3 linked regions of the Lonchura striata genome follow. The protein of the gene in region 3 interacts with the protein of the main gene of each other region in a pairwise test. Links are inferred from orthologs where the notes say so. Each region holds a gene or a part of one and is shown on either strand. Other genes may lie near its edges. The genes, in order: NEDD9, FKBP1B and REL.

Evidence for each region.
Region 1: the proteins of REL (region 3) and NEDD9 interact in binary tests that used the Homo sapiens proteins (3 or more experiments, as listed by UniProt). The link is inferred for Lonchura striata from reciprocal best matches to the Homo sapiens genes REL and NEDD9.
Region 2: the proteins of REL (region 3) and FKBP1B interact in binary tests that used the Homo sapiens proteins (3 or more experiments, as listed by UniProt). The two-hybrid records come from large-scale screens. The link is inferred for Lonchura striata from reciprocal best matches to the Homo sapiens genes REL and FKBP1B.

Annotation. Positions count from the first base shown.
Region 1 is NC_134603.1:91,623,247-91,626,993, forward strand, and holds the start of NEDD9 (enhancer of filamentation 1), read left to right. Parts: upstream 1-1,602; 5' UTR 1,603-1,661; coding exon 1,662-1,673; intron 1,674-3,747. UniProt on the Homo sapiens protein: Scaffolding protein which plays a central coordinating role for tyrosine-kinase-based signaling related to cell adhesion. As a focal adhesion protein, plays a role in embryonic fibroblast migration.
Region 2 is NC_134605.1:106,845,916-106,849,662, reverse strand, and holds the start of FKBP1B (peptidyl-prolyl cis-trans isomerase FKBP1B), read right to left. Parts: upstream 2,343-3,747; 5' UTR 2,245-2,342; coding exon 2,208-2,244; intron 1-2,207. UniProt on the Homo sapiens protein: Has the potential to contribute to the immunosuppressive and toxic effects of FK506 and rapamycin. PPIases accelerate the folding of proteins. It catalyzes the cis-trans isomerization of proline imidic peptide bonds in oligopeptides.
Region 3 is NC_134605.1:25,355,068-25,358,814, forward strand, and holds the start of REL (proto-oncogene c-Rel), read right to left. Parts: upstream 2,366-3,747; 5' UTR 2,255-2,365; coding exon 2,248-2,254; intron 1-2,247. UniProt on the Homo sapiens protein: Proto-oncogene that may play a role in differentiation and lymphopoiesis.

The sequences.
Region 1 (3,747 bases), on a different chromosome or scaffold from region 3:
ATTCTTTATCAATCAAGAAACCATTTTAGCAATAGGATCCCTCTCTAGAGGATTAGTCACATGAGAATTTAAGGATAACATTGTACTATGGAATGTAGTTATGTTTGTAATCTGCTAGTACAAGATTATTCTTTGCTATTTTTCCTTAGGCCATCAGAAATAGCCTTGAGTCCATTTGTGACCTAAAAATGTTGAGTAAGATTCAGCTTGGGCAAAAAGGAGAGAATTTATTTCCCGTTCCTCTAAACAATCTGGAGTATGTCCCCTATACAAAGATCCCTCCTATTGTGTGTACCATATTAATCATGCCTGATTAAGAGATCTAACTTGAAAAGCATGGAGGATCACCACACATCTATTTTCCCCACTCTTTCTTGCTTCCAAGATACCAGAGTTAATTATTACTCTCTTCCAAATAATCCTTATTTACAATGGTCACTCTTTATAATGAACATCTCCAGGCCATTAAAGCATTCTTGGCCTCTGGTGTCTAATCAGCGTTAAAATAGCAACCAGGCAAAGTGAACACTTGGCAGATTGATTTGAGCAGTAGTAGATATCTTCTGAAGACAAGTGAGAATAAAAATAATTGCAAAGACATGAACAAGCAGTGTTCAGCGCCTCCAAGAGCTACATGTGAGAAAAATGCCTGTGGGAGGGATGGACAGAAAAGGTTCACAGAATCACAGCATCAGTTAGGCTGGAAAAGGTCTCTGAGGTCATCAAGTCCAACCCTTGACCAAACACCATGTCAACTAGGCCATGGCACTGAGTGCCATGTCCAGCTGCTTCTTGAACACTTGCAGGGTTGGTGACTCAACCACCTTCCTGGGCAGCGGATTCAAATGGGTTACACACCCTTTGAATTAAGAAATTCTTCCTGTTCAACCTGAACATCTTGAGGCTATGTTCTCTTGTCCTGTTGCTGGCTGCCTGGGAGGAGAGACCCACCAGGGAGGAGAGACCCACCTCATATCAGGTGGTTACAGAGAGTGATCAGGTCCCCCACCAGCCTCTTTTTCTCCAGGCTAAACACCCCCAAGTTCCTCAGTCTCCCTTCACAGGACTTGCACCAGACCCATCACCAGCTCCGTTGCCCTTCTCTGGACCTGCTCCAGCACCTGAAGGTCTTTCAGTGAGAGGCCCAGCAGTGGACACAGGACTTGCGGCGTGGCCTCCCAGTTCCCAATACAAAGGATAACTGCCCTGGTCCTGCTGGCCACACTAGTGCTGACCCAGGCCAGGATACCCTCCTGGGCACACGCTGCCTCCTGTTCAGCCTGTCGACCCGTGCCCCCAGGTCCTTTTCCGCCGGGGAAAAGTAAAGGCGAGCAGCTTCGAAAAGGCAGAAAGGGTTCCGGGGAGGAGAGCCGCCAGCCCTCGCTCTGTGCGGGGCTCTCTCTCCGCGGCCATCGGCGGAGGGAAGTGGCGGAAGGCGCCGCACCCGGTCCCGAACCCGCGTCCCCGCCGCCCCGCTCCGCACCCCCTCCGGCGGCGCCGCCGCGGCCGGAGCGCGTGGGCGGGGCGCCGGGGCGGGGCCGGCCATTGGCTGCGCGGTTGTGGGGGCGGTGCCATGCAAATGAGCGCGCAGGGCTGGCGCGGCGGCGCGCGGCGGGGCGCGCAGAGCGCGTGGGGATGCGGCGGGGCGCGGAGGCGCAGCCATGAAGTACAAGGTGAGCGCGGCGGGGCGCGGAGCCCGCACGGCAGCCCCCGGACGGCCCGGGGCTCCCCTCCGCACCTCCTCAAGGCGAGCCGTGTGCTCACGGGCCGGCCAGGTCTCCCTTCTGCCCTCCGCTGCGCTGTCTCCAGGCGCGGAGCCCCAGGGAAGGTGTCGGCGGGGAGTGGGAAACGAGGGGGCAGCGAAGGGGACGGGCTGCGGGGACCCCCGGGTGCTGTGTCGGTGTTGGCTGTGCGGGGAGAAGGAGCTCCTCTCGCTTTTCCCGCTGGTGCCGGCCCTGAATAACGGGGTGAGCCCGGGATCGCGGGAAAGGTGGGGATGCGGTGCGTGATGGCCAGGCGCGTTTGGGACAGGTACCCCCGATCCTCCCCGGGAGCTCATGCACCTCCTTCCAGGCGCTTGTGGATGACTCCTCATCACGGTGCGGTCTGTTTGATGGATCACAAGCGAGGGGGGAAAAAAAGAACCCTAACATTTTTTTTTAATGGGTAGCCTATGCCCCGTGTTAATTCCTATCATCCCCGCTTATTAAAATCGCTTTTAGCGACCTTTTACCAGAAGGGGTGGCGGTTGGTTGGTTTTTTGGTTTTTTTACTTTTTTCAAAAGACACAAATGTGGAGCCTTTCATCCTAATATTACTCAAAAATGTCTGGGCAAGGTACAGAATTGCCCACGGGGCATTAGATTACTGTACAGACATACCGTAATCTTGTGTGATTGGAAAAAAAGGGGGAGGGAAGGAAAAACTTTCCTTGCCCAGCCAAAAATAACTTCAGTGTCAATAAAAAGGTGATTTTGGAAATGTCACACGCTATATACTTGGAGACTAAGTTACTTTGGAAGTGAAGTCCATCTTGGAACTAAACTTAGGCAGCATGGTCTGAAAGAGTGCTGATGGAGTGGCAGTGTGTGTGAGAAGTACGAGTGATACCCAGGTAAATGTGCACAGGTTTTTATGTTGTTCTGTACGTCTCTGAGCTCAGGCCAAGTTTTCAGGGTCTCTCAAGCCAAACTTTGGGAAAGGTCAGAGTTAAGTTTCCAAAGCAACTGCCAATTTCACCATCTCATGGAAGGACAAGGGGAAAAGAAATTGTGTTAGATGCGGGTTGACAAAGGTAATCCATGGCTTTCACAATTTTGATGTGGAGCTCATGGCTTTCTTTTTTAAATTGTGTCTCAAACAACTGATTGATTTCAAGTCTGAGATAAAATTAATCTCATCTCTTCTATCTACTCCACCTCTGATCAGTCCAGGTAGACTTTACACCTGCCCAGAGAAGCTGTTACTCTGAACTGAAAACATCAGGCACTCGGGAGTAGAAGAACAGTGTTGCTGTTAGTCCAAAGCTCACAGTCTTCTTTCAGGCTGCCCAGGGCCAGGCAACACTTGTATCCCAGTAGCAAAGTAATGGTCCTGCATAGTTATACAGCTTCCTGATTTCTGTATGTAGGCCAGTGGCACTGCAAGAATAGGGACAGATAAGGTGACTCAAAAGGGGGAAGTCTTCCCTGTTCTGTAATGTTTCCTTTGCCCTGTGTTGTGGGAATGAGCATTGTGGATTTGGTTTGTGATTACGTAATTCTAGACAGAGAAGGCTAGATGGAGAAAAGAACAAGCCATTAAAAATAAATAAATAAAAAGAAGATTGAGGGGTTTGGCCTCAAAAGCCTTCTTGCTGGATTATGGTTGTTACTTTCCCTGGGAATTGTGAAGCAGTTACGCTGTTTAACTGGGACAAACATTCTTAGATCTATTTCATATCCCTAGTGTAACACACAAAGAAAACACCTGCACACTTGGTCTTTTTTCTTTCTGTATTTTCTCTCTTTCTTTTATCTTCCTATAGGAAAACATTTTTTTTTTTATTGTACACATGAAATAAAGGAACGTAGAATGCTAATGGGCTGCCTGGGGACATATCATCACTTCAGAGGAGGCTTAGCATCCAGGTGTAGATTTGTCTCTGTTTAACTGCTCCCAGTGTTGTACTGGGGGATGTCACTCCTTACTTTCATTGTGATAGCCCATAAGGCCTCATTTAAAGAAATAAGTGAAATGCTCATTATA
Region 2 (3,747 bases), about 81 Mb from region 3:
AGGAAAAAAAGCTTAAATTATTTGCTTGACACAAGATGAAATTACCATTTCCATTTTACTTGTTCTAGGCACTGCTAAAGGTACTGAAACCTAAGGGATGACTCTCAAGGCTCAATTAGGTGCCAATGGTGTATTAAAGATACTAACCATGATTTCTCAAGGTTGGCCAGGGGAGTGCCCAGGTTCAGAAGAAATTAAAAATATCAGTGTGGTTAATTATTAAGGAACATCCTTGATAGAAAGTTAAAAACTGGGGATTGAGTTAGGTTGTCCACAAAAGCTGTGGATGCCCTATCTCTGGAAACATTCAATGTCAGGATTGATGGGGCTTGGAGCAACCTGGTCTAGTGGAACATGTCCCTGCCCATGGCAGGGGAGTTGGAAGGAGATGATCACTAAGGTCCCTTCCAACCAAACCATTCTGTGATTCTATGAAACTGAGGCTCATCTCTTAGTTGGCTTTTTGGCTGTTTGGTCAAAATTAACATGATAACAAGTTCTGCATTACAGAGCACTTCAAAGGGTATAAACCAGCAGGTAGCACACAAGCTATGGCCTTAGGGATCACATGCCAAAACCACATGAGCAATAAGTGGTGAAGGGCAGGATAATATGATGAACCAAGATTTACAACACAAAAATTGATAAAGTGGTACTTCTAAGGGCTACCTGAACAGCCTTGTTCATTGGCTTGGCTGGCTGGAATATCCCTTATTGCACGTTGCACAAAATGCAGCAGGAATCTTTTAAGGTCACCATGGTATGCTAAAGTGGGATCCATCTCTTTTAAATTCACAGCCATTTAAACCACGGGCAACTATCGCATGCCAGTCTCCTGGGCTTCCTCTATTGACAGCAAAGAATTAGCAGTGCTTTGAGAGAAAGCCAGCCTATCCAAAGGAAGGCAAGACAAATTATTCCCTCGAGATGGCCACAGAGAAAACCCAGAAGACTGCTTTAGACTAGCCAACTAACCTGAGAAAAGTTATGTGAGATGAATCCTACCGCCAATAAAACAGGTATTATTAAAATGATCCACTATTATACAGAGATCTGAGAAAAGCAGTTTCAGACCTTATGGACACACACTCTGCTCTGTGAGTTTACCATCAGCAAAGCCAATGAAGCTACATAATTTCACATCAAAAATAAATTAAAAGCAGAGATTCGCAAGACCACTGACTCACTGTGGCTTAAGACAGTGTTTAAAGTCAGCTGATTTTGATTAAGACTTGCAACCAAGAGAACTAATCCATATAGCCTTATTTGGAATCACATATTACTTACAATGACAGCCGTGATCTATTTAATAGATAGTAAGTACTACTGTGAGGTAGTTCCATCCTCCTTCCTACTCCCAACTCACCACCATTATTTATGTGGGTATAAGTATTCTTTTTTTACATCTGTGAAACCAAGAGAAGAATTCGATCTCTAGAGCAAAACAGCACAGAGGGAGAAGCCAATTAGAAAGCATACACAAAGAATGGAAAGATACTGGGCCAAGAAACTTAATCTGCAATCAACTTGAACAAATTATTTATGGTTGCATATCAGCCAGTGATGAATCTGGCCTATTATATAGCTACATTTGTATGTTAGAAATCACATTATCTTAAAAGAAAAAAAAAAAAAAAAAAAACAAAAAACAAAACACAAAAACCTTACGGAATTATAATGCCAAGGAAGAGTAGAACACTGCGAATTGGCTCACGAAAGCCAAGCGCCAAGGAGAGGTGACTGCCACCCGGGCTGCACATCAGCCCTCGCCAGCATCCCACGCTGGACCGGGAGGCGGCGGCTCCTTGCCGGGGGATGCCGGCACGAACGGTCGGTGGCCCCGGCGAGGCCGGGCTCGCCACCGGGGAAAGTTTGGGCTCCCCGCCGGGCGCTGGCGCTGACCCCGCGCTCGGGCCGTGCAGCTGTCAGCGGATGCCACAGGAACCCCGGCCCCCTCGCCGCCGCTGCCGCCGCCGCGACCCCGGGCGGGCGCCTGGCCGCGCTCCGCCTCTCCCGCACCGGGGGTTCGTGCCCGCGGCGCTGCGGGGGCGGCCGTGCCTCCCTCCCGCCCGCCCGCTCCCCGCGCTCCCCGCGCTCCCCGCTCCGCCGCCGGCGGGGACGCGGCTCCCTCGCTCCCGGAGCCCCGCGGTGTCCGGCCGGACCCTCCGTCCCCGCGCTGCGGGGCTGCCCCCGGCACGGCTTCGTACCGTCTCCCGGAGAGATGGTCTCGATCTCCACCCCCATGGCGGCACCGGCTCCACTCAGCCCCGCTCCCCGGCGCGGCCGGACCCCCAGTGCGGGCAGTGCCCCTGGGCGGCCGCGGGCAGGGGCCGCCCCGGCTGCCCGTCAGCGCCCGCAGCCAATGCGGGGCAGGGGCGGGGAGGACGGGGAGGGGAGGGGAGGGGTCCGCCCGCCCCCGCTCCGAGCGCCCGGGGGCCGCGGGGACCAGGGGAACCTTGCGGCGGGGGCATCCCCCGCCGGCATCGCTCCCCCGCCCCACGGCCGTGCGGAGGGTGCTGCTGCCATCCCTCGGGCAGGGCTGGCTTTAGCGATGGTGCCCGGCGGAGCGCTCCTCCGGGGGTCTCGCCGGCGTTTCCCCCCGGTGCCCGTGCCCGTGCGCAGTCCGAGCGGCGGAGGGCTCAGGGCGGCTGCGGGAGCAGGGGGTACCGGTGCGGTACTGCTGCAGGCGCGCTGGCCACACAGGGAAACCAAGCGCCGTGCTTCAGCCCGTCCAGACACCAGGACACGGCCGAGTGCGAGTGGAGGGTCGGAATTTCCCGGTACAAAGAGCCATGGAGGAAGGCATCCGTGCTCGCACGACGTGTGCGCTGAAGGGAATGTCCCCCCGGTTCTACCGGTGAACGGCAGCATCGGGGCAGTGGTACCCACCGCTGGTGACCCCACACAGCAGCAGCAGCGGCAAGTCTCCAGCAGGCTGGCATGACCTTGAGTTTCAGTGTAAAACAGTGTCTAAGTTCCTATTCATATCCATGTTTTAAACTGGAAAATCTATTTATGTGTGGTGTTCCCATGATGTAAGATTACATATTCAACCTTGCTACAACTACTTCTGGGGAATGTACCTGAAACAGACTATTTCCTCATGCACTTACAGTGTATTCGAATCTCAGGAGTTTCCACTGCCTCTAAAGGAATAGTTCTGTTTGCAGTTCTGTGTTTTCTGAGTTAAAAATAAAAATGGAACCACAACGTCATCAGTTTTTCAACTGAAAGAGCTGTCTGTATCCATCTAATTCCAACTTGCACTTCTCTGACATTGCTTTTTCAAGATTTTTATCTGCTACAAACTGGGTTCTCTTCAGGGAAAAGGATCTTTCTCTGTGTGGGCAGTTGTCAGGATGACTGAACTGAGGAATTACTGTGCTGGTTCGTAACTGCAATAATGTGGCCCTTGCTCTTGCATGCATGCTCTGAACTACACTGACCATCTCCACACAGCTTTTCACATTACTCTGATCAGACTGTTTCTTCTCCTGGGTGCTCAATTGTATCTATCTTTCTTTGTGGGTCAGATACTCTGAAATACCAGGACTGGCTGCCTCTCACTCCCAAAAATGGGCAGGTGAGGAAAATCAAGAGCTCACGCGAGTTCAGAAGCAGTAATGAGGGCTGAACATGGATTCCTTTCACCTGCCTCCCATTCCAGTGAATTCTGCATCTGCAGGTAGCATGTACAGAATAAGCAGGCACTTACTGAAGTTTATCAGAGGAGGTCTGTAACAGTGG
Region 3 (3,747 bases):
TGTGTAGAGAGGAAACACACAGCATTGTTTGTGAGAATGAGAGGTATTACCAGCACTCTGCAGCCAAGTGTCCGGTGTTCCCTATTTCTGTAAATCAGCAATGTGCTTGTGAAGTGGCACAGCTTAACTATGTCACAATCTGCTCTCTCACACACACACAGAGTCTCTGTTAGCTCCCACACAGTCACTACAGATCTACCCTCCTCAGGTCTCACTTTGTGTGTCAAACAAATGTGAGATACACCAAAACACAAGCTCTCACTAATTCTAGAAGAGAAACACACAGCTATTCCTATTTATTACCTGCCTGCCCGCAACTACTCCATAAAGCACTTGAAATGGAAGAAAAAAAAATCTAGCTAATCCTACATCTAAGTTCTTAAGAGTTTAATTTGTCTTTGTAATTAATTCTAATTGCCTATACAGATGCTAGCAATAGAAATATTGTGCTACACATTATAACCTGCCTGTCATTCTTTTTGTTATTGAATTGTTTTTTCCCCCTCCTGTTCTGAATACAACACCGAATAATTTTAAAGAGAATATAGGAGAGCAAGTCTCCCAATTATATACGCAAGGAAAGGAGGCAAAAGCAATGACAGCTCCAAGAGTTCAGCAAGGAAAAGAGGTCGAAGCAGTGACAGCTGTAAGAGTTCAGCCACTTTGCTCATTCAAGAATTGAAGGGTGTTTTATTCTTACATTTTGAGCAATACAAAGAGGAACAAAAGGACAATCATTAAAACTCAGAACAGACTTCCATCAGACCTCTCCATGACAAGAAACCTGTGATAGTTTGAAGTTTAACACAGCCGGTGCCATGGGGGAGGAAGTGTGACATGCTGCCACCAAGCAAAGTGACAACCCGATCAAGGGCTCTGTCTCGTTCCTTTGCTCCGAACAAGCAGGCTCTGAAGGAACTGCCAATTTTGTCATTTTCTTGAACGGCCAGGAGTGCCCGGTGAACAGACTCTCCATCAGCATCTGCGTGTGAAAGCAGAGCAGCTGTGGGTCTTTGTGGAAGATGTGAAAGTATCACCCGAAACCCTCCGGCCCGAGGTGTCTGCAATGAGACACAAATGGGAGAAGCATCGCTCTTTAACTCTGATGTCACTGCTCTGAACAAATCCCTGGTAGCACAAAGTCTGTCAATTCTAAAAAGCAAGAATCTGTCCACTTACAACCTTCTGCACCACCTCAGGCTAAGCGGGAGGATGGCGAAAGCTTTGTTACAGCACACCCCAATTTAAGCAAAAGCAAATGCAAACATAACACGATTTGATTTGAAAAAGAATCAACCTACGGCTCCATAAACCGCCCAAATTCTAACAGAGACCAAACAACGCTCACGAACTTCCTCTTTACTATCGTGTTACATTACAAAACGGCAACCAAATGAAAAAAAAAAAAAACAACCACAAAAAAAAACAAAAGCTAGCTAGTACCAGGAAGTTCTAAACTTCACCCGCAGAAAAAATTCCTTATCTGGTTCCTAATTACACTGAAAATACATAAAGACACGAAGAAAAAAAAAAAAATAAAGAAAAAAACCCGAAACTGCTCTCTCCTGCTTAATTGTTGCCACTTTAAAATACATCATAACATTTAAAGCACAAGTCCAGCTGTTTTCTCTCCATGTTGATAGTTAGCATACCTATATTTTTATCAGGAGTGAAAGCTCATACCTTGCTACGTGGGAACAGAACACACACTCATGTTCTGAAAAGCAGCTTTGCCTAGAAATACTATTCTAATTAGTATAGCCGAGTTTTTAAATTTAGGGGGGTTTTTTTAACCCTAAGGAAGATACCAGAGACGCCTCCCGAAAGGATGACAAACTCGGTTTAATTTAGCCTCTAGAAACTTAGTTATGCATTTTGTTGTAATGACTCAAAGCACGATCCCTTATCTGCATTACTTTGCATTTGTGCCATCACTATTTCTCACAGTTCCGATGAGAACGGGATCCTGATGGGCACGACCCAACCTTCAGCCTGTTGCCTCCATCCCAGACAGAGACCCGCGCGCTTCTTTAACACCTAAACGCCCCCACTCCACAATTTTAAGACCGAAGAAATCCATTTGAAATCGAACAGCGGCATAAGATCCCGTAGCGACTCATCCGAACAACCCATCGCCGCTTCAGCCTCGCAGTGTAAACACCCGACGCGCCCAGCCAAGGAGGGCGGAGAGTGCTCGGAGCCCCCCGGGGCCGCCGCCCGCGCCCCCCGCCCGGCCCCGCCGCTCACCGGCCATGCTGACAGCTCCGCTCCGGCCTCTGCGCCGCGGGGCTCCGGCCCGGCCGCACACCTCGCAGGGACACACGGACGGCCGCGGCTGCCGGGCTCGCCGCCCTTTTCAGGGGGAATTTCCCGTGGGGCGGGCGGGCGGACGTGCGCGCTGAGCTGCGGGGCGGTGCGCGGCCGCCCCCCGCCCGCTCTCGCCCCGCCCGTCCCGCCCGGCACCGGCAGACCCCGCTCCGGGACTGCGGCTCCGCGGGGAGAGCAGGCACAAGTCTGTCGTCCGGTCCTGCCCGGTAGCCAAAAGTACGGAGGGAAAAGTTCAGCTCCTCTGCTTTCAGAGCGGGGCAGGTACAGCGAGAGCCTACTTCATTCCGTACCCTCGCCCTCGCAGGGCATCGCTCCGACACCCCCCGCTCTGTCAGCCTCGAGAGACCAAGCACTCTCCTTATCCGTCTTTTTCTAGGTTTCGTGGAGTCTAGGGGTCAGCCCAGGAAAGGGAGAGCTCCAGGGAAGACTGTACTGCAGCCTTCCAGTGCCTACCGAAGCCCCTCACGGGGTTTATAAGACGGACAAGGATAGACTTTTACCAAGGCCTGTAGCAATAGGGCAAGGAGGAATGGCTTTAAACTGACAGAGGGCAGGGTTACATTAGATACTGATAAGGAATTCTTTACTGTAAGCGTGGTGAGGCAGTGGAACAAGCCTAGCCAGAGAAGCTGGGAATGCCCTATCCTTGGAAGTGCTCCGGGCCAGGCTGGATGGAGCTTGGAAAAGCCTAGTCTAGGGGAAAATGTTCCTACCCACAGCGGGGGGTTGAAAGGAGACAGACTTTGAATGCCCCTCTCAGCCCACTCTGATTCAATAAATAAGCTGTACATACTACAGATAGACCAAGATTGCAGGTAAAGAAAGAAATAATCACCTGAGCCCATTCAGTCACAGTGATCAACTCTATCAAACCCTTGGAGCATCCCAGATCCTGCATCTCACAGCTTGGCCCCTACACAGCAAGGTGAAGCCAAGGAGTTGGACACTGGGAACAGCCCCATGTTTGGATCAGGTGGAGAGGTCAGTAACAAACAAACAAATCTGGGGGCAAATTAAAAAACACCTGAAAAAAGAGGAACACAAAGGAACAGGAAGGCCACACCTAGCTGTGGTGTAAGATTGCTTAGCTGACAATAAAATTTAATTTTTTTTCTTAAATCTTTAATCTGGGAGTGGAATAAACTGTCCCGTGTGAAAATGCAGTTAAATCAATTAGTATCCCTGAAAAAGAAAGATTAATAAAATAACAAGAAAAGCCTGAAAGAACAATCAAGTGAGGTACAAAACAGATAGGTTCTTGCTTTTTCCCCCCACTATGCTATTTCTAAAGCTAAGGTTATTGGGATGTACATAAATGAAGAACAGCTGAAAATGCTGTTCTACAATCTGAAAACTTATACACACCAATTCATGTAACTAAGCAGAAGAGGTTGCCAAATGTTTATTATTCTTCTTGCT